6 linked regions of the Callithrix jacchus genome follow. The protein of the gene in region 3 interacts with the protein of the main gene of each other region in a biochemical or structural test. Links are inferred from orthologs where the notes say so. Each region holds a gene or a part of one and is shown on either strand. Other genes may lie near its edges.

The links.
Region 1: the proteins of MAGI1 (region 3) and ADRB1 interact in a test that uses a peptide from one of them, tested with the Homo sapiens proteins (2 studies listed by IntAct). The link is inferred for Callithrix jacchus from reciprocal best matches to the Homo sapiens genes MAGI1 and ADRB1.
Region 2: the proteins of MAGI1 (region 3) and FCHSD2 form a complex in vitro, tested with the Homo sapiens proteins (2 studies listed by BioGRID and IntAct, with this or other methods). The link is inferred for Callithrix jacchus from reciprocal best matches to the Homo sapiens genes MAGI1 and FCHSD2.
Region 4: the proteins of MAGI1 (region 3) and NET1 form a complex in vitro, tested with the Homo sapiens proteins (3 studies listed by BioGRID and IntAct, with this or other methods). The link is inferred for Callithrix jacchus from reciprocal best matches to the Homo sapiens genes MAGI1 and NET1.
Region 5: the proteins of MAGI1 (region 3) and CYSLTR2 interact in a test that uses a peptide from one of them, tested with the Homo sapiens proteins (2 studies listed by IntAct, with this or other methods). The link is inferred for Callithrix jacchus from reciprocal best matches to the Homo sapiens genes MAGI1 and CYSLTR2.
Region 6: the proteins of MAGI1 (region 3) and CRHR1 form a complex in vitro, tested with the Homo sapiens proteins (2 studies listed by BioGRID and IntAct, with this or other methods). The link is inferred for Callithrix jacchus from reciprocal best matches to the Homo sapiens genes MAGI1 and CRHR1.

Annotation. Positions count from the first base shown.
Region 1 is NC_133513.1:106,982,712-106,986,970, reverse strand, and holds the start of ADRB1 (beta-1 adrenergic receptor), read right to left. Parts: upstream 2,801-4,259; 5' UTR 2,532-2,800; coding exon 1,104-2,531; 3' UTR 1-1,103. UniProt on the Homo sapiens protein: Beta-adrenergic receptors mediate the catecholamine-induced activation of adenylate cyclase through the action of G proteins. This receptor binds epinephrine and norepinephrine with approximately equal affinity.
Region 2 is NC_133511.1:68,060,848-68,064,347, reverse strand, and holds part of FCHSD2 (F-BAR and double SH3 domains protein 2), read right to left. Parts: intron 2,790-3,500; coding exon 2,673-2,789; intron 410-2,672; coding exon 305-409; intron 1-304. UniProt on the Homo sapiens protein: Adapter protein that plays a role in endocytosis via clathrin-coated pits. Contributes to the internalization of cell surface receptors, such as integrin ITGB1 and transferrin receptor.
Region 3 is NC_133516.1:47,220,106-47,223,605, reverse strand, and holds part of MAGI1 (membrane-associated guanylate kinase, WW and PDZ domain-containing protein 1), read left to right. Parts: intron 1-3,113; coding exon 3,114-3,296; intron 3,297-3,500. UniProt on the Homo sapiens protein: Plays a role in coupling actin fibers to cell junctions in endothelial cells, via its interaction with AMOTL2 and CDH5. May regulate acid-induced ASIC3 currents by modulating its expression at the cell surface.
Region 4 is NC_133508.1:8,367,048-8,371,299, forward strand, and holds the start of NET1 (neuroepithelial cell-transforming gene 1 protein), read right to left. Parts: upstream 2,801-4,252; 5' UTR 2,664-2,800; coding exon 2,536-2,663; intron 1-2,535. UniProt on the Homo sapiens protein: Acts as a guanine nucleotide exchange factor (GEF) for RhoA GTPase. May be involved in activation of the SAPK/JNK pathway Stimulates genotoxic stress-induced RHOB activity in breast cancer cells leading to their cell death.
Region 5 is NC_133502.1:67,304,573-67,308,773, forward strand, and holds the start of CYSLTR2 (cysteinyl leukotriene receptor 2), read right to left. Parts: upstream 2,801-4,201; 5' UTR 2,561-2,800; intron 1-2,560. UniProt on the Homo sapiens protein: Receptor for cysteinyl leukotrienes. The response is mediated via a G-protein that activates a phosphatidylinositol-calcium second messenger system.
Region 6 is NC_133506.1:86,534,854-86,539,054, reverse strand, and holds the start of CRHR1 (corticotropin-releasing factor receptor 1), read right to left. Parts: upstream 2,801-4,201; 5' UTR 2,508-2,800; coding exon 2,475-2,507; intron 1-2,474.

The sequences.
Region 1 (4,259 bases), on a different chromosome or scaffold from region 3:
ATTTATAATATGGATACAGTTACAGTACCATGATAAAGGAGTATAAAAAGGTATTTTCCCAATAAATCATTAGCTCTATAACATACTAGACAACAGAAGTAGAGCTTGAATTTTATTTTAGTTTTTAAGATCTGCCCACCACTTCCCCAGTTAAAAAATATTTAACTTCTTTTTGTGCAAGTAATGTTTTCTGTGGAATTTGTAATTCCTAACACTGTGCAAAAATGGCATTTTGAACCACTCCTTTTTTTGTTTTTGTTTTTATCCACATGTGCAGTAATCAAAACTGTCTCTCTCTCTCTTTTCATGTCCTGTCTTAAATTGACAAGAGTCACATGTCACAGAGAGAGGCTCTGCGCCTGGTCCTTCCAACTAGTATTGATACATAAATAAGCTGTTTAATATAAACAAGTCTTTCTATCTGCTGTGCAAATGCACAGTGTGAGGTAGAAATCCCGTAGCCTGACCATCCAGGCGCGCGGGGGATCAGAGGGTTTGCCCTACACAAGGAAAGCAAATTGGGGCTTGTTCCAAGAAGAGCTTAACATTTCTTGAAACGTGATTTTTTTTTTTTTTTTGCATCCATCCTTTTCGCTTTCATAACAGCGGAAACCATTACTTAGGAATTAAAATGAAATTTCTCTGGAAAGCAAAAGGAAATAAATATGCCTTGATAAACTGTCATTCTCCTCTCTCTGGCTGGTAGACTGCCCCTGTTCCTGGGACAGGGTCGGGAGCCAGGTTGATCGGATTTTAATCCCCTCCTAATGCTTCTTCTCCCTTCCCCTGCCCACCCAGCTTCCACTCCCATCCTCGTGGAGTCAAAAACCACCTGGGGGGAAAAATCTAAAGATGCATCACAGGCACACACAAAAGAAGGCCGGACCACAAACAGAAGAAGAAGGAAAACAACCCAAGGAACATCAGCAAGCCACTCTCCCACCCCTCCCCAAACTTTCCTTTTTGTGCAACGGTCCGTGGCTTTTCTGTTTGCCTTGGATGATTCAGACGAGGTTTGTGGGCTTCGAGTTCACCTGCTTTCGGTCTTGAGTAAACACAGATCTCCGAGATCCCCCGGGAAGCCGTTCCGGGGCGCCGGGCCCCTACACCTTGGATTCCGAGGCGAAGCCGGGGCGGCACGGCTCGTCCAGGCTCGAGTCGCTGTCCGCCGCCGCCCCGCCGTTGCAGCCGGCCCAGGGCTCCAGCAGGCGCGCGGGCGGCGTGGCCCCGACGACATCGTCGTCGTCGTCGTCCGACGCGGCCCCGGGCGACGGCGGAGGACCGGGCCGGGCCAGGCAGCCCGAGGCGCGCGGCCGGTCCCCGTGGGCCGCGTGGCGCCGGCTGGCGGCCCTGCGCGCGCAGCGGAGCAGGCGCTGGAAGGCCTTGCGGAAGTCCGGGCTGCGGCAGTATATGATGGGGTTGAAGGCCGAGTTGGCGTAGCCCAGCCAGTTGAAGAAGACGAAGAGGCGATCAGGCACCAGCTCGCGGTGGAAGGCCTTCACCACGTTGGCCAGGAAGAAGGGCAGCCAGCAGAGCGTGAACACTCCCATGATGATGCCCAGCGTCTTGAGCGCCTTCTGCTCGCGCAGGGCCACGAGGCGCGAGGGCCGCCGCTTGCCCGCGCGCCCGTTGGCCAGGGGGGCGGCGGCGGCGGCGGCGTTGGGGCGCGGGGGTCCTGGCGCTGACGGCGGCGCGGGCGCGGGGGCGGGTGAGGGCGGCCGCTCCGGGCCGCCGAGGAACCGGCGCTCGCAGCTGTCGATCTTCTTCACCTGCTTCTGGGCCTCGCGGAACACCCGCAGGTACACGAAGGCCATGATGCATAGGGGCACGTAGAAGGAGACCACGGACGAGGCGATGGCGTAGGCCCGGTTGGTGACGAAGTCGCAGCACTTGGGGTCGTTGTAGCAGCGGCGCGCCTCGTCGCTCTCCGCCCGCCACCAGTGCATGAGGATGGGCAAGAAGGACACCAGCGCCGAGATGGCCCACACGGTGCACACGAGGCCCCTTGCCCGCGCGCGCGTCAGCAGGCTCTGGTAGCGGAAGGGCGACGTGATGGCGAGGTAGCGGTCCAGGGCGATGACACACAGGGTCTCGATGCTGGCCGTCACGCACAGCACGTCTACCGAGGTCCACAGCTCGCAGAAGAAGGAGCCGTACTCCCAGCCGCCCCACACCACGATGGTGGCCCCGAACGGCACCACCAGCAGCCCCATGACCAGGTCGGCGCTGGCCAAGGACATGATGAAGAGGTTGGTGAGCGTCTGCAGCCGCGGCGTCTTGGCGATGGCCACAATCACCAGCACGTTGCCCGCCACGATGAGCAGCACGATAAGCGCCATCAGCAGGCCCATACCCGCCGTCCACTGCTGCGACAGCGGCTCGAGGCCTTCGCTGGCGGGAGGCAGCAGCGAGGCGGGCGGCGACGCGGGCACCAGCAACCGCGCCGCAGTGGCCGCGCCGTCGGGGAGCGGCGCAGCCGACGACAGGTTGGCGGGATCGGAGGCGCCCAGGACGAGCGCCCCCGCGCCCATGCCGAGCTGCGGAGGCCGGGGGCGGTGGGTGTGGCGGGGCTGGGCAGTGGCTAGGGAACACCCCAGGAGCCCGGGCGGCGGGGTGCGCCGAGGGAGGTCGCGGCCGGGTCAGGACAGCCACGGCGCGGGGCCGGAGGCATGGGCGCCGGGCGCCTTTCCCGCCGGATCCGAGCGCTGTCGCTGTCGCCGCCGCCGCCGCCGCCGCTGCCGCTGCTGGAAGAGCCGCCGGGACCTCAGCATGTTTCTGAGCGCGCCGGGCCCGCAGCTCCGGCACCCAGCACCCACCCCACCCCGCTCCCACCTCCCCAAGCCAACCCCCGGGGCCTCGCGTCAGGTTCCTGTAGCCAATCGGGGCAAAGGCACGCCCCCGTCGGGTCTGCCCCCCCCAACTCCCCGCACCCCACTCCAGTTGGCAATTGAGCCGCTCCTGAGAGTCCGGAGCTGATCGCGGAGCTAGTGCCTCCCGTGCGGCCCGCGGGTTCCTGCGGACGCGCCCCTTCCTGCGCCCGCTGGTTCCAGGTCCCTGTTCCGCGCACCCCCTCCCGCGCCCGGCTCCCCCGAGGGGCCCCGCCCCCTCCCGCGGCCCCCAAGTGCTCCCGCAGCCGCTGCTGCGCCCCGTTTGCCTCCCGCGCCAGGCTCCCTCCTGCGCCCCTGCTTCCCCAGCATCCCCTCGACCTGCAGTCCTGGGGGTTCCCTGCGGCAGAGAGCGCTCGCTCCTTGGAGCGAGGAGGGGACCTTGGTGTTCTGGAAGCGCCAGAGCGCCTGGGACTGCTTGCCCGCCGGGCATGAAGGAGTTTGCCCTGCGAGCTTGGTTGTGGCATGGGGCAGCCTAGCAGGGTGTGTGTAAAACCCTTCCCCCGTCAAGAGGCGACCCAGCCAGCCTGTGTCGTGACAGCTTGGGGGATCAGAGGTGGGTGTTAGTGGTTAGAGGAAACTTCCCAGCAGAGCGGGTTGCTGGAGCCAAGGGCGCATCTGTTCAGAATGCTCTCTGGGCGCTGTTCTTGCAGGGATCTTCTGTTGAACCTCAAGTGCAGTGGAAGTGGAAAGGATGCGAAGGTTTGTGCATCTAACAGCTAACGCTGAGGACCCGCTGGCATCGTATTCACTCCTCAGTCCCAGCTAATGAATGTGTGAGCAAGATGCAACGGTGTGTGCTCATGATAAAGGGAGAGGCTTAGGGAGACAGAAACGTTGAGATACAGAGCAAACGGTACGACTGCGAGGGGAAAAAAAACATGCTTAATTACATTTTAGACTTGTCAGTGATAACACCTGTATTTTGTGTTTTATTACTCTTGTGATTTTGTAATTTGAGCTAGGTCAGTACCAACACAAAGGTACTGTCAGTTTCGGCTGACGTCATGAACTACCATTTCAGATTCCTTGGTCTGCTGCTTGTTTTCTCCTTTTCCCAAGTTCCCAGATTCTCAAAACTCTGGGATTAGTTTTGGAGGGATGAGACAAGAACACATATAAATACTCCAGAGGATTAAAATCCGAAAGCATTTAAAGTTGTATCTGTGTTTTTTTGAGTTGGCAAATGAATCGCTTTGAAATGAGTGAGTTGTTAACCTGGCGAAATGGATTATATTGGGGTGGGGGCACAGCCATGAATATTCAGTGCGGCAGGACTGCAAGCCCCTTCTCTCATTTGGCCCCTGTAGTGTCCTCAGTTCAGGCTCGAAAAACAAAATATCTTTAATTGGGTCCTTGAGAAGTAAACAGCTT
Region 2 (3,500 bases), on a different chromosome or scaffold from region 3:
TACCATTAATTTCTGTGGTTTATTATGTACCTTGTAGAAATTTTAAAATTAGTGTCTTCATTGTGACTTAAATCTGTGTTTAATGTTACGTAACTGTAAACTTTACAGCACGTTCAGCGTCTTTGTGTTATAGGCACTGCCTTCCATAGAGCAGGTACTTAACAAATACTACTGTGGACATGAATGAAGACAGTGAATCACCTTCATCTCAATGTATGAAGAAAGTCAGTTTTAAAGGTGCATATCACAGCTGTGACAGTGTCATTAGATCTGGGCAAAATGCCACAATTAGCTGCCACTTTACCTCTGCTTTACGAATATTTTCTCTAGCTTCATCTATTTTCTGTTCCAGCTCTGCTCGGCTTTGTTCTGATACAGCAACTCCATGACACTCCAGATCATTTAGAACCTATTAAAGAAAATGGGACAATAATGATGACTGTTTTTTACTTTTCATCTTCCTTAAGTGACTATTTAGGTAATTCAGAAGGCTTTAGTGACTAGTAACCGTATATTTTTTTCATTTATTTATTTTTGAACATTTTGAAATAATTATAGACTTACTAGTAGCAAAATTACTGCAAAGAGTCCCTTCAGTGGGGAAGCCTGTGAGATAACCAGGACCAGCCACTATCTGATTGCTGCCACATAAGAGATCCCAAGGGAAAACTGCTAAGCTGAGGCCACCCCATACTCAGATTAGTGAGACATAATCATAATGTAAAAACCCTCTTGTTTGAGGTGGTTTGTTAAGCAGCATTACATAAGTGCTACATTGCATCTGAGATGCCTGTCAGATAGTGAAAAGAAGATGTCAAAACAGGCAAGATACTATATGGATATATAGCAGTAGCAAGGCCCAATGTTGGAGATATTAATTTATGATTTGTTGGTAAAGCAAAACCATGGAAGTGATCGAGACTGCATATATGAGGGTAAAGAATAAGAAAACAAGATAACCAAGTACAGAAATCTGAGAAACTGAATATTTAATTGTTGGATGGAGAAAGAGGAACCTATAAAAAAAAATCTAAGTATGGCCAGAAAGGCAGAAGGAAAGCCAGGACAAAGCCAGGTTGAATCGTGGATGACTAGAGAAGATATCATTTTAAGACAAAGAGAGTTGTCAATTGTGATGAAACTGCTGACAGATTAAGAAATATGAGAAATCAAAGTGTCCATTTTGAAGCTAGCAACACAGAATTCATTGGTGATTTCGGTAAGCTTAGATTATGAAGCAGTATAGGGGAAGGAAAGGAAAGGAAAGCTCAAATGTAATGGGGTGAAAAGAAAGTGGGCGGTGAGATTCTATAGAATAAGCATAGGCAATTCTTTTAGGAAGTAGGATGTGAAGGCAAAGAATGAGAAGGATATAGGTATCAATAAATGAAATAGAGAAAAAAAGTACTATGCTTAAAATAATTTCTTTGTGCTTAGAGTTTAGTCTTAGAGATATATTTTCTTTCTTTGTTTTGTTTTCTTTTTTTTTTTTTTTTTGAGACAGGGTCTTGCTCTGTCACTCAGGCTGGAGTGCAGTGGCATGATCTTATCTCACTGTAACCTCCAACATTCTGGGCTCAAGAATCCTCCCCAACCTCAACCTGCTGAGTAGGTGGGAAGGTAGGTGTGTGCCACCATGCCTGGCTAATTTTTAAATTTTTTTTTGTAGAGACCGGGTTTTTGCCATGTTGCCTAGGCTGGTCTCAAATTCCTGGCTCAAGCAATCCACCTGCCTCAGCCTCCCAAAGTTCTGGGATTACAGGCATGAGCCACTGTGCCCAGCCAAACATATATTCTCATAAAACCTATAATTGTGTCTTCAAAAAATATGTTTTGAGGGACAAAAACCTACATTCAACATATGTCTCTTCCCCTGCCCATAATACACTATCACAGCTTTTCTTTGGCAATTTTATGGTAAACAGGTGAATAATTGTATTGCTGATGGAGGGCTTAAGGATATCCAACATGAGTAGAGTTGCCAGCATACTGCCGAGTGTTGACAAAACTCATATAATGCTTGAGCAAAGAAGTTTGAGACTAGCCTGGGAAACATGGCAAGATCCTATCTCTACAAAACACCTGAAAACAATTAGCTAGGCATGGTAGCATGTGCCTGTGGTCCCAGCTACTTGGGAGGCTTAAGTGTGAGGACTGCTTCTGCCCAGGAGGTTGAAGCTGCAGTAAGCCATGTTCACTCCACTGCCTTTCAACCTGGGTGACAGAGCAAGACTCTGTCTCAAAAACAACAACAACAACAACAACAAAACACATATAGGGTATTTTTCACATTTAATAAAGCTCAGCTTCTTTTTTTTTTTTTTGAGACGGAGTTTTGCTCTTGTTACCCAGGCTGGAGTGCAATGGCGGGCTCACCGCAACCTCCACCTCCTGGGTTCAGGCAATTTTCCTGACTCAGCCTCCCGAATAGCCAGGATTACAGGCGTGCACCACCACGCCCAGCTAATTTTTTGTATTTTTAGTAGAGACGGGGTTTCACCATGGTGACCAGGATGGTCCGGATCTCTTGACCTCGTGATCCACCCGTCTCGGCCTCCCAAAGTGCTGGGATTACAGGCTTGTGCCACCACACCAGCCTAAAATTGAGCTTCTTAAACTGGTTTGACATTTGGCTTAAGGTGGACGTAACTAGGACTTTCTCTTATACTTACCCGTTGTTGGTGAACAATGTTTTTATGCTCACGTGCCACACGTGTGGCCCATTTTCGAGCTTCCTTGTTTAGACTGTGCTCCTCTGTGGTCCCAGTTTCTGATTCTAATTGTCGGCTCTACAACACAAGAGAGAACAAAGATAAAAATACTGCTAACCTTATTACAACCACTACTGCTTTGTAGATGGACCAGAGGGCCTTCACTTAATCAGCACTCAAAACATGAGGCATGCTCCACTACTGCTGGAAGCAATGTCTTAATGTCACAGAAAGTTACCAGAAGAGTAAGATGACAGTAAGAAACCATTAAAGACCAATAAGCTTTTTGTCTTATACTGTTGAACACAAAAGCATAATTTCTAATACTGTGGACTTACCCTTTTGGGTGTGATGGAATTATCTTTCTGAAGGGGAAGGAAGCTAGTTAAGGTAAGCAAAGAAGAAAAAAGTATTCATGCCAATCTACTATGATGCTAAAATCATTGCATAAATAAAAATGGAAACAATCTAATAGTTTCAATGTGAGTAAAGAATCATTAAAGAGAAGTAAGAACAAAACAATAAAATAACAGCAACACAATCCTGTACCACCCCACTGCCCCAGGATACTGGATTTCATCAAGTTAGAGGTCCATCATCAACCTGCCACCAAACTTCAAGCCAACTTTTGCCCTTTCTCTAGGATTTAATGTATACATATGAAAGATAAGGGTGCTAGATCAAATGATCACCAAGGGTTTCTTCTAGCTCTAAAATGCTATAATTCTGATTTACAAAGAACAAACCGCAAAATCTAAACAATAGTAATAGCTAACTCCTATTGTGCAA
Region 3 (3,500 bases):
GTAAAGAGTAATAAAATGTGCATAAATGTGAAATCTTCTGATCTTCCCTCCCTTGTTAAACATTGAAAAAGGAAGTCAGTTGTATAATTTCAAAACTCTGCTCATGTCTTTATTAAGTTAACATTCTCAGCACAAAATATGCTAATGTATTTTTTTAAATTACATAAACTGCCAGGCACATTTTCACATTTTCTAACTTAGCCTATAATAAAAGTGAAAAGCTCTAACACCCAAACACCGCTTTTCAGCCTTCCCAAAAACATGTTAAATTTCATTTCTATGTGCTTTTATTTGTTCATTCATTCACTCCCTCAACAAAAATTTTTGGAGCATATGAAATGTACCAGACCATATTCTAGATGCTAGATATACATAGAAAAATTCCCATGGAACTAACATTCTAGTGGTTTTATGTACCTGCATAGGCAGTGCCCTTCATGCATAGGAGTGGGGGACAGTAGGAAAAATAGGTAAGATGCATATTCTTTTGGAAGGTGGTAAGAGCTAAGGACAAAAATAAAGCAGGAAAAAGGGATTGGGACCGTTGGAGGTACTGCAATTTTTAGTAAGGTGGTTAGGGAAGGTCTTTCTGGAAAGGTAATGGCTGTTGATGATATCTCTGCATAACAAAAATGTGTTTCCTTTCAAAGTCCTGGAATGCCCTAGTAGCCCCTACTGCAAGAGTGTAGGCCACTTACCCTCCTCCTCCTAAAGTAAATTTGGGGGTTATCTTACCAATTTCCATCTGATAATTGTCTTGGCAGTGGTCTCCCCAAAGCTCTTGGTGGAAGTGACACCACCCTCCCAGTGCCTTGGTAGATGACTGCATGGCGAATCCTTCTAAGTCTTGCCTTTCTTTCACTACTGTGACAGGGCTGTAGTTTGTCAAGCTTCCAACAAGCTTTGGGACTGGGCTAAAGAGCAGGTTAGCGAAAGGACCTCTGATTGCAGGCAATTTAAAAGAGCCTTTTTTGCAAGAGCCAGAAACTTTTTAAATATGCAATTAAAAATTGTATGCATGCCCAGAGACCTTTTAAGGCCTTTTAGATATAACTAACCAAAATAACTTTTCTTCCTAGGTCCCAGGCTCCTACTGCAGGGGTGTAGGGGACTAATGTCTCCTTCTTTCTCTCTTTTTGTTTTGGATAACATTTTTGAATAGAAAAGAAACAGGGCAGGTGGAGAAGCTGTGTGTGGCAAGGACAGGGTATAAGAAGTAAGTAAAGTTAGGAGAGATGAAAGAATCTGCTCATGAAATTAGGTCTACTACTTGGGATAATCAGAGAAGTTCCAGTAAATTTCTCAGTTACAGATATGTGCCTAGTAAATCCCAAAAGAAAACATTTTGGTTTATGTTCAAAATGTTATTTGTGAATGTATCAAGAAAACTCAATAAAACCTTCGGTTTCATGTTTGGAAATTATTTAGCTGTATCTCTATCTGTTAATTTAATTTATTTTGTTTATTTACTTTTTGAGATAGAGTTTTGCTCTTGTTGCCCAGGCTGGAGTACAATACCGAGACTTGGCTCACTGCAACCTCCACCTCCTGGGTTCAAGTGATTCTCTTGCCTTCGCCTCCCAAGTAGCTGGGTTTACAGGCACTCACCAGCTCACCTAGCTAATTTTTTTTTTTTTTTTCAGTAGAGATGGGGTTTTACCATGTTGCCCAGTTTGGTCTCAAATTCCTGACCTCAGGTGGTCCCCCTGCTTTGACCACCCAAAGTGCTATGATTACAGGCATAAGCCACCATGCCCAGCCTAATATATTTTAAATAAGACAGCTGAATTTGGAGCTGTATAGCTACTGTTAGTAACTACTTTAGGATTTCGGGGTTGTTTATTTTGTTTGGTTTTGTTTGATTTGGTTTGGTTGTTTTTCGGTCTTTCTTTCTCTTTCTTTCTTTCTTTCTTTTCTTTCTTTCTTTCTTTCTTCTTTTTTCCTCCTTCCTTCTTTCTTTCTCTTTCTCTCTCTTTCTCTTTCTTTCTTCTTCCTTCCTTCCTTCCTTCTTTTCTTTCGTTTTCTCTCCTTCCTTCCTTCCTTCCTTCCTTCCTTCCTTCCTTCCTTCCTTCCCTCCCTCCCTCCCTCCCTCCCTCCCTCCCTCCCTCCCTCCCTCCCTCCCTCCCCCCTCCCTTCCCTTTCTTTCCTTTCTTCTCTGTCACCCAGGCTGGAGTGTAATGGTGCCATCTTAGCTTACTGAAACCTCCACCTCCTGGGTTCAAGCAATTCTCCTGCCTCAACCTCCTGAGTAGCTGGGATTACAGGCACCTGCCACCATGCCCAGCTAAGTTTTGTATTTTTAGTAGAAATGAGATTTCACCATGTTTGCCAGGCTGGTCTTGAATTCCTGACTTCGTGATCTGCCCACCTTGGCTTCCCAGAGTGCTGGGATTACATGAGCCGGTTTGTGTTTTTTAAACAAATATCCAAAGCTTGTTATAAACACTAAATCTTAGCCATGGACATGTGTTGGCTGTTTCACAAATTTAATAAAAGGTACAAATTAATAGGAAAAAATCAATAGAATTTAGAATTCAATTCAAAGTGATGACCCTTAATTTTGAAAATAGTCATTCTACATTTTTCTCGAATTATTATTTGTGACCATACTGTGTTTTCTGGTATTATCTGTGCATTTTTAGCCTGGATTTTCTGTTTGATTAAAACTAAAGGTTTTGCTGCTCAGTTGGTTTTTCAAGTGGAAGCGAGGCCCAAAGCAGCACATTGGAAGCCATATTGCAAAATAAAAGATAAAACAAAACAAAAGACATAAAACAGACCAATTCCATTTTCTGTGAAGGAGCTTATGACAGCTCAATTCCTGTCAAACTGCATGAATGGAAACCAAGAGGTGTGTCACCTGACAGGGTCTAATATCATCCCTCTCTTGTAGTTTCTTTTAGACCCTGGAGTTGACATACCTCTCTCCTTCAACAGTGGGGCCTAGGAACATCCTAATTCCTGAAATTAAGAGAGGACTTTCTTAAGATGCTATGTGCCCAAAGGCTCTAGAGCATAAGCTTGAAGAATGATCTATATGTTGTCTCAAATCTTGTTTAATTCTCCTTTTCACTGATGGTGACATTCTTTATGCTTTTCTTGTTTTAATGCAGGCAAACCCTTTTTTACACGAAACCCTTCTGAGTTGAAAGGCAAATTCATTCACACGAAGCTGCGGAAAAGCAGTCGTGGCTTTGGCTTCACTGTGGTTGGAGGGGATGAACCTGATGAGTTTCTCCAGATCAAGAGCTTGGTCCTAGATGGTCCTGCTGCATTGGATGGCAAGATGGAAACAGGTAGCGTCCACATGGCCTTAGTGTATTCTGTGTGGTAAGACTCCAACCCAGAACACAAATGTGTGCAATCATGTTGTTTGGTTTGAGCAAGACCAAACAATGTCGTGATTGCACATGTTTATACCTTAAAACACCTTGAGAATGAGCCAGTAAATCCATCCCTTGGGACAGATTAAAACCTGTGAAATCATTTTAACTTTGGGA
Region 4 (4,252 bases), on a different chromosome or scaffold from region 3:
TGTCCTTGCAATGAGGCCGGGGTCTAATTGAGCTGATGAACACAAGCCACCTATAGATGGCTAAACTAAGAGTACCCTGTAACAAACGCCCACTGGGGCTTCAGCTGTAAACATTCACCCCCAGACACCCCCATGGGGTTGGAGTCCTACTGCCTGCTTGTATATTTGTTCCCCTAGAGGTTTGAACAGCAGGGCACTGAAGCAGCGAGCATACCCCCAGTGCATGCCCTGCAAGGGGGACAAGGGAACTTTTCCCATTTCAAAAGAAATTAATTCCATTTACAACAGCATCAAAAAGAACAAAATAGGAATACATTTAGCAAAATGTGCAAAACTATACCCTGAAAATTACAAAACACTGTTGAAAATAATTAAAGATCTAAATAATTGGAAAAACATCCTTTGTCCATGGATGAGACTACTTAACCCTGTGTAGAGGGGAATACATTTGAAAATGATCTACAAGATGTAATGCAATCCCTATTAGAATCCCATTGGATTCTTTTGTAAAAACTGTTAAGCTGATTCTAAAATTCACATAGAATTGCAGGAGACCCAGGATAGCCACAACAATCTTGAGAAAAAAAGAACAAAGTAGGAGGACTCATATTTCCCAATTTCAAAACTTATTATACAAAGCAACAGTAATCGATACAGTATGGTAATGGCACAGGGGTATCACAGTGAAACTTCTCTTCACCAATCCCACTGCCAGCTATCAGATTTGAACAGTCATTTTTTCATTTAGACTACTGCAGACTGATTTCCTACCAATTCACCTTCTAAACTTGAAAATTTTTATTTGGTATACACAGCTGGATCCACAAATCTCCTGAAATTTGTATGTATATGAGCATGTTTTTGGGGAACAGTTTTCGTAAAATATGAATGGTGAGATGACTCCAAAATGTTGCTTATTTTTCTCATGGAAGACAAACTGATCTTTTAAAATGCAAATACATCATGCCATTGGCTTGTTTAAAGCCTTTCAGTATTTCCGCATTACCGTGAAGATAAACCCCCAAACTCTGTGATGGCATACAAGGCCCCTTCCTGATGTGGCTTTCACCTCTTTAGCATAATCGCTCATGACTACCTCCTCCTTATCCCTATATTGGTCTCCCTCCTCTATACAACTAGTATTAATACAGTAATAAAACAGAATATACACCCAGAACTCATCAGACCCATTTGCTTCAGGGCCTTTCTACAAGCTGCTTCTCTGCCTGAAAATCACCCATTTACATCTGCTCTCTAAACTGGTCCTCAAACTCAGGGATTGCAATAGGAAATCATTTCCTGTTCTCTCCAGCCAGGATTAAGTGTTCTCTCTAATGTACCGCATTCTGTGTACACCACTACAATAACTCTTAAAACACGTTATAATAATTAACCTACTTATCTTTCTTCCCACTAGATTATAAATCTTAAATAGTAAGAACAGTATTTTCCATTTCCATATTCCTAGTGTCGGCACTCGCATTATTTCCTGAACAAATCGAACATTCTCTTCTCAACCTGTTGCAAAGCACTCTAAGTTCGATATTCTAACCACTCTTGGAAACCATCTACAATCAATACTCTCTTTTCATTACCAAATTTAATTTCAATTCCTCATCTAGCCTAATCCTCATTTTTACTTAATCCTTTTATTTGACCTATCAGGAACACCTGACACAGCTCCCCACGTCCTCTTTCTCGGAATCCTTTCTCCATTTGGCCTCCTGGATCCTATTCTCACTTGATTTCTTCCTCCTAACTCAACAGCTACCTCCAGCATTATTACCTCGGCTTTTAAACGCCGGGAGAGCCTCAGGGTTTGGTCCTCAAACCCTTCGTCCTTTATACTCACAGTCTAAGATGACCTTCGATTTCAAGTCTTTTGCTGACAATTCCCAGATGTATAACTGATTTACACAGGTGGGTTCGCTCTGCGAAATTTCACTGAGCCAAACACGAGTCATACAGTCTCACTTCAATGTGTACTTCCACAAAAGCAAAAAGAAAAAACACGAGGCTGGTTGTGACGAACTCTCCCATAGGCACCTCATGACCCATATTCCGAAGCCAACTCATCCCCTAGCCTTTCCTTTCTCAGGACATGGAGCCCATTCTCGTGATGCTCCCTGACAGTTTCGGTCTGAGCAAAGGTACCTGGGAACTCCAGCCTACAGCCAGTTGTGTGTGGAGAACAAAACCATTGTGGCGTTCCCCGTCTCCCCAGAGGAGCAGTCAGGAGGAGAGGAGACTCAAGGCAGTCCCTTTCCCACCGGGCAGGGAAATCGCAATTTGGGGTCTCAGGTCCCATCTCAGTCCAAGACCAGGCACACCGTCACTCAGGCCTGGGCCACCCTTCCCTCCAGCGGCCCAGGTACCCCGACACACACGCTGCATTCACCTCCCCATTTCCCCCCTCACCTTCCAGCGGCCCTCGCCTCCCCCTGCCCCTCACCACCCCCACACCCAACTCCCGGCCGGCCCTCACCTCGCCCCTGCCCTCGCCTCCCGTCCGGCCTTCCCCTCCCCCACACTCACCTCCCGTCCGGCTCCGGCCCGGAGGTGTCGGCTGAAGGCCCCGCCGCTCCCTCCGTGCTGAGCCCAGAGGCCCGGCGGCTTCGCCTCCGCGGCCGAGGCTGCTTCTGAGCCGCCAGCTCGGGCTCCATGGCACAGAGGAGGGGGGTGGGGCGGTGGCCGGGTGCCCGGGAGACCGGCAGGGACGGGCACGATGCCCGCCAGCCTCTGCCAGGCAGAAAGCGCCTGTCAGCGCACAGCCGCCGCCACCGCCGTCATCCGGGGATTTGAAAATGGCGGCTGCGCAGCGATCAGCCAATCAGTGAGCGCGCAGCGGTTCCTAGGAGACGTGAAGTCCCGCCCCTCCGCCGCTACCGGGATACACCTGCCACGAGAAAAATCTAGGAAAACTTACCCTTAACTCTTTACCGCATCCCTCAGTCCCCAAGGTCCGGTTCCTCCTTCATTGTCCATTAGGACTTTCACTACAGGCCAAGGCAAAGGGACTGGAAGCATTTTAAGTCACCAGTTCTTTCTCAGCATTTGGGGAGAAGGGAGATTGAAAGTAATGACCTGTAAACAAGGCTCGTTTATTGGCCATATACACACTAAATTATTGTGCACGTGGCCATATGAAATATATTTCCAATTACCAAAGATTATGCAGGTATGTTCCCCAGGGCTGTCTCTAGGAAACCAGCAAAATCTAACTATGAGCCCTCATGTCTTCCAATAAGGAAGACACAGTCTCTCCCTAGCAAAACAGAATGAAGTGACTTCATCCTCTGCTTGTAAAAAGTCATCAAAAGACACAACATAAAGGACTACCTCAAGTAAAAAAAAAATGGTTAAATCACACATTCTTTGATTTTAAATATTGCTTAATATGTGTCAAAGACTTTAAAAATAGCTTCTCCTTTGGCACTATAATTCCACTTCTAGAAATTTATACTAAAAATTAAAATTATATAAAGATGAAGCTATTAATGATGTTGTTTATAATATAAACATTTAAGACATCCTAAATAAACAATGATAGGGAAATTGCTAACTCAGCTTATCTACTGAGAAGAATATTTTCAGCCAACAAAAATGAAGTGTGAAGTGTGTAATAGAATGGTATACTGTAATTTGAAATAAAAACATGAAGCATAGAGGTATATTCAGTATATTCAAAGTTATAAATGACAAGAGATTATACAAAGGAAAAGTCAATGTATTAAAATGTCTCTAAATGGTTAGACTTTCGGTATTCAACATTTTTATTTTTTGCATTTAATTTTTTTTAATAAGGACATACTGAACTTGCAGTACCTTTTATAACATGAGGGGGAAATGTTTTAATTTTGAAATGAGTAAGAAATTAGGGAGTAAGATGACCTTAGTGAAGAACCACTTCTGTTCTACCTTCCCCATCCGTCTCCAAAAATTAAAGAAGAAAATATTGCTTTGTAGCAGTTAGAGTGTAAGAATACAGAAATGTTCTTAATATTTGGGGAGTCGGTCTCCACCCAGACAGAGCTTCATAGGATGCAGATATTTAGATTATGAGCAAAAATAAACCTGAAAGAGCAATTCCTCAAGGCAGATCCCAAGTGGCTAACTGGGCCTAAATTTTAAACAGGGCCAAGGGCTATCTGCTGACTAGAGGTCACACCTGCTCTCACTCACCCACAGGCCTTTGGGATTGTCACAGTTGACCCGAATTGAACAATCAGAGCTCATCTGAACTAACCAATCA
Region 5 (4,201 bases), on a different chromosome or scaffold from region 3:
TTCACCAAGATCGAAACGAAGGAGAAAATATTAAGGGCAGCCAGAGAGAAAGATCAAGTTACCCATAAAGGTAAGCCTATTAGGCTTACAGCAGATCTCTCAACGGAAACCCTACAAGCTAGAAGAGAGTGGGGGCCAATATTCAATATACTTAATCAACAGAACTTTCAGCCCAGAATTTCATATCCTGCCAATTTAAGCTTTACATTTGAAGGAAAAATAAAAATTTTTAGGAACAAGCAAGTACTCAGAGATTTTATTACCACCAGGCCTGCTTTACAAGAACTTCTAAAAGAAGCACTATACACAGAAAGGAACAACCAGTATGACCCTTTCTAAAAATACACCAAAAAGTAAAGAGCATTAACATAAAGAAGAATTTTTATCAATGAAAGGACAAAATAGCCAGTTAATATCAAACGGCAGCAACCCTAAATTTAAATCGACCAAACCTCCCAATCAAAAGATACAGACAAAATCTAACGGTATATCCAAAGATATACATAGACTCAAAATAAAGGGTTGGAAAAAAAAAAAACGTACCAACCAAATGGAGAGCAAAAATAAATAAATAAGCAGGAGTTGCAATTTTCACATTTGACAAAATAGATTTCAAAGCTACAAGGATACAAGGATAAAAGGATTAATGTAATAATAAGAGATCTTAACACCCAGATACATAAGACCCATAATGAGATTTAGATTCAACGAGACAGAAAATTGATAACGATATCCGGGACTGGAACTAAGATCCAGAACAAATAAACTCAATAGGGCTCTCCATTTTAAACACACAAAATATTCATTATCCACAAAATCTAACGATATATCTAAAGATATACAAAGACTCAAAACAAGGGGATGGAAAAAAGCTCACCAACCAAATGGAGAGCAAAAATAAATAAATAAAAAGCAGGAGTTGCAATTCTCACACTTAATAAAATAGATTTCAAAGCTACAAGGATGCAAGGGTAAAAGGATTAATACAACAATAAGAGATCTTAACACCCAGATACATAAGACACATAATGAGATTTAGATTCAACGAGACAACAAATTGATAAGATATCCAGGACTTGAACTCAGAACCAGAACAAATAAACACAACAGAGGTCTCCATTTTAAACACATAAAATATGCATTAACCACTTTAAACACTCAAAATATTGATCGGCCATTATTGAAACCCATTTTAGGAATGAAGTAATATTCCTTTTTCCCTCTTTTTCTTTTTTTCCCCTTCTTTTTCTCTTTTTCCCTAAAAAAAAATAAATAAATAAATAAATAAAAATTAAAAAAAAAAAAAAAGAAATACTGACATCAATATTAAAAGCAAAAAAAAAAAAAAAGAAAAAGAGGGCCAGGCACAGCCTGTAATCCCAGTACTTTGGGAGGCTGAGGTCCGTGGATCACCTGAGGTCAGGAGTTTGAGACCAGGCTGACCAAGATGGTGAAATCTCATCTCTACTAAAAATACAAAAATTAGATGGGCAAGGTGGCAGGTGCCTGTAATAACAGCTACTTGGGAGGCTGAGGCAGGAGAATTGCTAGACCCGGGAGGCAGAGGTCGCAATGAGTCGAGATCGTGCCACTGCATTTTAGCCTGGGGGACAGGGTGAGACTCTGTCTCAAAAGAAAAGAAAAAGGAAAAAGAACGCTACAGTAACACCCTAATTGCTTTCCTGTTTCTACTCTCACTGCTCTACTGCGCTACAGTGATGCTTTTAAAGAGCAGGTCATATCGTTCATTCCCTTGCTTAAAAACCCTGCAGTGACTTCCCACGATTCTCAAAATAAACACCTCTCTTCCTTAAAGAGTAATAAATAACTTTTATAAACTTTGATGAGTTAATCACATAAACAAATGGATAGCATTCATGGCTGGTAAAAAGGAGCACACACATTATTCAAAATAAAAATCTTTACCATGATCTGCAAAAGCCCAACCTGATTGGCCCTTCTTATGCATGTATGACCCTAGCCACATGGCCTTCCCTGCTGCTGGTCCAAGTCCCTGTGCTGAGATGCCTTTGCCCTGTCTTCCTCACTCCACTTAACTCTCTACTTAAGGGCCACTACCTCCCACAAGACTTCACTGGCCTCCCTTTCTAAAATAGTTATCCACACATATACTCCCCCTAACTCTGCTGTAGTCTGTTTTGTAGAGCTTATCACTAGCACTACTCTTTTTTTTTTTTCCCCCGAGATGGAGTCTTGCTCTGTTGCCCAGGCTGGAGTGCAGTGGCACGATCTCAGCTCACGGCAACCTCCACCTCCTGGGTTCCAGCAGTTCTCCTGCCTCAGCCTCCTGAGTAGCGGGGACTACAGGCACGCGCCACCATGCCCAGCTAATTTTTGTATTTTTAGTAGAGACGGGGTTTCACCATATTGGCCAGGCTGGTCTCAAACTCGTGACCTTTTAATCTGCCCACCTCACCCTTCCAAAGTGCTAGGATTATAGGCCTGAGCCACCATGCCCTGCCCACCATCACTACTTTTTTGTAGCATTAAATATTCATTTCTAAATTGTCAGATCCCCATACTATACATTTGTACTCACTTCTCAGACTCCTTTGTGTTTGAGGTCTGGGCTGGAATGTGGCCACCTCAGAAGAGCTGGTAAAGCCTGCAGCTGTCCTCGTCCTCTTCCCACTCCCAGCTCCCTCCCACGTATGAGGAGCTCCACACTTAGGCATGGGGAATTCTAGCCCTCATGTCCTTGTCCCCAATGCCTGAAAGCAGCTGCTCTTGGCCACCTGTAGGACGTAGGGCTATACAAACTTTATGCTCTGATGCAACTAGGGAACAGCTCATAGCATTTGAGGACATTTGGCTGGGGACTTCCCAAGTATCCAGAGCACAGTACAAACAAGGAAGTGTCCCTTAGCCCCACAGACTCCCAGCCCCCTCGGGTCAAGAAAGGGGTTGGATGAGGATCAGGGAGAGCTCTAATCTGTGTCTGGTCCTCATTCAGCCCTTTTCTGTCCCAAGGGGCTAGTTCTCTCTGGTCAAAGAATGGCACCAGGACAATGTGTTCTTATGCCCACGTCTAGGAGTAATTTGGCCTTCATAGTCCAACCCCAGATTTCCTTTCAAGTTCTATTCCTATCAGTTGCTTTCCCACTTTCTTCCCATGCTCCAGTCAAACTGAACTATTTGCTTATCTCTAAAAATAAAAAGCACTATTTTGGGGCCTGAGAGGAGCACAAAATGGTAAATAAGGGAACTGGCTGTATTGGAAAGAAATTAGCAAATGCTTTCTTGAAAATAAACAAGGCAGGCTTGGTTTTTTTGCTTGTTTGTAGTTCGTTCGCTGGAACTGAACAGACCTAAACAAACAGGGAGTCCAGTCCCTTCATGACACCCATGAAGAAACAGAGGCACAGACTTGTTGAGCAGCGTGGTCATGGCACACAGCTAGTCACTGTCACACCAGGCCTGGAACCCAGAGCAGGGTCTGGAGAGCTCCCTAACCATCTCCAACACAGCCCTACATACGCTGTTCTCCTTGTGCCTTCTGCTGCCCCATGGCCATGGGAAAGACAGGCCCTGGTTCTTGCTATCCCCTCACCCAAGATCTCCTTCAACTCTGAAGACCACTGATTCTAGCGCCCTTCCCCATCCCTTTCAAGCCCAACTCTAGCCTAGTGCCAAGAGCCAAACCTCACCCCATCTCTAGTTCCCACAAGTGCCCCAAATATTGAAACTTGGGGGAAATAAAAAGTAGGTCTTCCTGGAAAGCTCCAAACTGCTGCTGCTGTGTCAATAAAAAGGAAGAGGCCCTGGATCTATTTCCTGCATGTCCCAGAGTTCTCCAACAATGACTATCACCAGGACGATGTAGATCTTACCTTCACACTCCAGAACTGGGGGTGAGGGTGAGGGTTTTCTGTGCAGCTTCTTCATGCAGCTGTGGAGAGGGGCTGGGACCAAGGTTGCTCCTCTGAAGACAAGGTTCTTCCTGGGCCTGGGATCCTATTTCTAATATTTTATTTATCTCAATTAGAACTCACGGAACTCACAGTCTACACATATTATATTATCATTCTCATCTTTAGGGGGCAAAAAGCTTGAAACAACATTTAATTCTACAAGCAATCACCATAGATATTCATTCTCCTCCAATAAAAGCCCAATTGGCTGGCACAGTGGCTCACACCTGTAATTCCAGCACTTTGAGAGGCCAAGATAGGCAAATCAT
Region 6 (4,201 bases), on a different chromosome or scaffold from region 3:
ACTTGCTGGGGACAGCGCTGGATTTGGGATGAACACTAAGTCCCTAGATTTATACTCTCATGCTGGCAAAACTACCTGGGCTCTCATCTGGCTAAGATCTAGGGTGAGGTTTAAGGGGCTTAACATATTTTCTGGTAATGGCTGGGCACAGTGGCTCGCGTCTGTAATCCTAGAATTTTGGGAGTCCGAGGTTGGCTGATCGCTTGAGCCCAGGAGTTTGGAGACCAGCCTGGGCAATATGGTGAAACCCCACTTCTATAAAAAATACAAAAATTAGCTGGGTGTGGTGGTGCATGCCTATGGTTCCAGCTATTCTGGAGGTTGAGGTGGGAGGATTACTGGAGCCCAGGGAGGTTGAGGCTTCAGTGAGCTGAGATCACACCACTGCACTCCAACCTGGGTGACAGAGTGAGACCCTATCCCAAAAAAAAGAAAAAAAAAAAGATATTTTCTGGTAAAAGCAAACAAAACAAAGCCTTATATCAGAGTGCCCAGGTTTGAATTCTGACTTCACTATTCACTGGCTCTGTGACCCTGAACCAGTTACTTAGCCTCTCTGTGTCTCAGGAATAATTCCTACTTTCTAGGGCTGTTAGGAGGACTCAATGACTTAATATTTGCAAAGCAGGTAGAATAATGCCCAGTGAATTGTACATGCTACATAAGTAAAAGAAAAAAGCAACTATTTAATAGAAACCAGCTTTGAAACCAGCATTCGCTGGCCATTCCCTGGCTCAGCCTCATTCATTTGGTATTTACTGAGTGCTGACTGAGTTTATTAGGCCAGTCATAAAGAGCACACACCCCACTATCTGGTAGGAATAACAGAAATAAAAAGACTCCCCTTTTTTTTTTTTTAAAGAAAAACATGATCATTCTAAACAGAGATTTGCACACAACTCTAAAGAAGGCCAGAAAAAGAACATTGATCTATTTCAGTGTAAACTGGAAAAAAAAAAAAAACAAAAACACCCACATTTCAATCCTTTGAATCCGTTCAAAAGACTGAATTTGGTCTAACTGGTTTGTGCATTTAGACCAGGCTTCGATACACACAAGACTTTTGGAAAATATTCCCATTCAGTGCCACCTATTCGACCTCTCTGGATGTTTTTCTTCACCTTCCTCATCCGTCTGTCTCCTTGAACGCCCAGAAAATAATCTCTGAGTTCATCTCTAGCCCTCAGGTAACAGACAGGGGAGGGGATGTGGGTTCAATGAGACCAACCCTCAGTCATTTCAAGAATCAACTTATAAATATCTGGGGAGGGGCAGGATTAGAGAAAAATCTCAGTAACTTGTAACGTCTCATTAAAAAATCTTGGTGCTTTAACTCAAACCACTTGGTAAGCCGCTATACGTACAGTTGGTTTAATAACTGATGGAAAAATGAAATTCCGCCAATCCGCACCCCTCCCCCAAATCCACCAAAGTCTCTTTAATGTAATCGCTTTGAATGCCCCGAACCGGGTCAGGCTGGCGTCTACGTCTGTGGCTGAAGCGGACCCTGAGGGATCCCGAGCCCCGGGCGAGGCCGTGCCCAGGCGGGTGCGGCACGGGGTTTCCCGGCAGCCGCGCAGAGGCCCACCCGCCCCTCCGGCCGGCTGCAGCGGGCGCGCCTACACCTTGCAAGACCAGAACGCTGTGGAAAGCGCTCGGGGCTGCAAGTGACGCCTGGCACTAGGGGCGGGCCGGACTGCCGGCCTCCCGGCCCTTCCCGGGCGCACACGGCCCTTGGGCCGCCCCCGCCGCCCACGAAGTTCAGCGGGCAGACGCTGGACGTAAGGTCTGGCGACTTTCCTAAACTCCAGCGACCGATCCGCGTCGCAGGGTAGGCTGCGCAGCGCGGGGATCTCGGTGCCCAGGCTCGGAGAGCGAGTGTTGCGCTCCCGGGCCGCGGCGAGGGAATGGTAACCGCCGCCGGAGGCACGGTCCCCTCCCCCGAGACTGCGATATTGATCAAGGGTTCGCAGGCGCGGGCCGCATTAATCTCCCTGGACTCGCAGCTTGCAGCCGAGGAGAAGGAGCAGGATGCGCTCCCGGGACTGGGGCGGGGGCGGGCGGAGTCGGGGAGCTATGAGAAGGTGCTGGGGCGAGGCGGGGAACCCCGCTTCAGAGCCTCCCGTCCTGGGGCCGGGGTCTGCAGGGAGGGCGTGGGAGGCGGAACCCAGCGTCTGCCCCAAAGCCTAGAGCGATTCTTGGCGCGGAAACGGCTACCCGAGTGGGCAGACCCCTCCTCCGCCAACATCCCGGCGGCTCAGCCACGATTTCTTTTCTCACCTGAGTCTCCCCCTGCCCACCAAACCCTGGCTCCAAAGGTCCAGAGAGTTAGGCTGCCCCAGAGCCCAGCCTTCCCCGACCTGACTGCCGCTCTCCTGGCGCCCCCTCCTCCATCGCACCCACAGCCCGGCCTGTCCCGCGTCTGCCCGGGGCTGGGGGCGCTCGCGCTGGAGGGCGGGCCGGCGGGCTCTTACCTTGACAAGCCGGAGCTGCGGGTGCCGTCCCATCCTCCGGCTCGCTCGGTTACTGTCCTGAACGCCCGGGTCCCCCAGGCATCCCAGAGGGGCCGGCGGGCTGCTGCGGGCTCGGGCAGCACGCGGTGGGCGGCCGGACTCCTCGGTGGCTGCCCCGTGAGGAGGCGCCCGGTTCCGCGCTCCCCGTCCCCGCAGCCCGGCCCGGCCGGCTCTCGCTCGCCCCTTCCCGGGGAAGTCTGGCCGCCGTTTCCCGACTCAGCCCGGCGGGAGGCCGCTTCTTGCCAGCCTAGCCCCTGCCGCCTCCCGCAAGGTCCGCGCGGCTCCTCGCCTTGGCTCCCCGCCCCCTCGCCCAGCTTGTCCCCTCCCTCCCCTTTCCCCTCCCCCTCCCCCCCGCCTCTCCCTCTCCCTCTCCCTCTCCCTCTCCCTCTCCCTCTCCCTCTCCCTCTCCCTCTCCCTCTCCCCTCCCCTCCTCTCTCCTCCCCTTCGGTCCCTCCTCCGCGCCTCGCCCCTCGGCTCCCTCCCTGCCCCTCGCCCCTCGGCTCCTTCCCCGCTCCCTCCTCTTCCCCTGGCCCGCCGCCTGCGCCCCGCCGCCAGGATCCCCTTTCCCTACGCCCGGGTTTGCGGCAGTCCTCCGGGCGTGCTTGCGGCGGTGGCGGCCGCCGCAGCCCGGGGAGAAGCCCGGGATGGGCGAGGGGGTGGCAGGAGAGGATGCAGCCTCCTACCTCCCGCCGGGCAGAGGTCCGGGCCTGGGAAGTCCAGGGGAGCCGGGGGCACTTGGGCGGGGGTGCTCAGGTGAATTTATGAGGGCGAGGCTATTGGTGGCGGTGGAACAGGGCGGTCCCCACTGAGCGAAGCCGCCGCAGAACCCGGGGAAGCTGCGACCTGCGTTTGGGCAGTTCCCGCCCTGCAGCTGGCTAGCGGGAGCTCCTCGCCGCCCCCACTCCAGCCGCGCCGGGCTCCGAGCCCGACTCCCAGCACCTTTGGCATTGACGTGCCTAGTGCGCGCTGAGACGCGAACGTTCTGCAGGATGAGCCCTTATTCATTAGTTCGTTCCTTCGTTCATTCGTTCATCTTACAATCTGAGTGCCTGCCCACTTTGGTTCAGGCAAGGGGCTGGATCTGGGAACCTTTTGGACCCGGGAGCCCCAAGATGAAAGGGAGACGGCGGTGCCCTGCAGGACAAGTGGGCACTGAACGCAGCCCTGGGTAAAGCCAGGTGCGGATTGCGTTGCAGCGCGGCGAACCCGGCTAGGAGCCTGCGGGCTGGGGGTGGGGAGGCCACAGCGCCCCCTCCCGGCCGAGTCTTCAGGGCAGCGTTGGGGCTCCCGCCAGACCCCGTGGTCGTCTTCTGGATTGGCTCACGAGCTCCCCATCCCAGGAAGTAACTCCCAGCCCTTCCGGATGAACAGAACTTTTGACGTCCTCTTCCCTCTTCCTCTCTCCTATCAGAGCTGATAAGGGAGAAGAGGAGTCACTGGGAGGTAGAGAAATCTTCACCCGCAGAGCCTAGGCTGCCTGGCCTATGCAATCCTTATAGGGTACACCAAAGCACCTGAGGCGCGGGCAATCGGCTTTGAAATCAAACTGAACCCACCTGCCCTGCATCCTGTGCACTGCTATGCCCACCCTACTACTCCCTCCCACCCACTTCTCAGCACAGTGGGCAAGAGCCAGCATGTTCATGGGTCCACTGGCCTTCATTTGGGGCTGGAGTCATTTTAGGAGG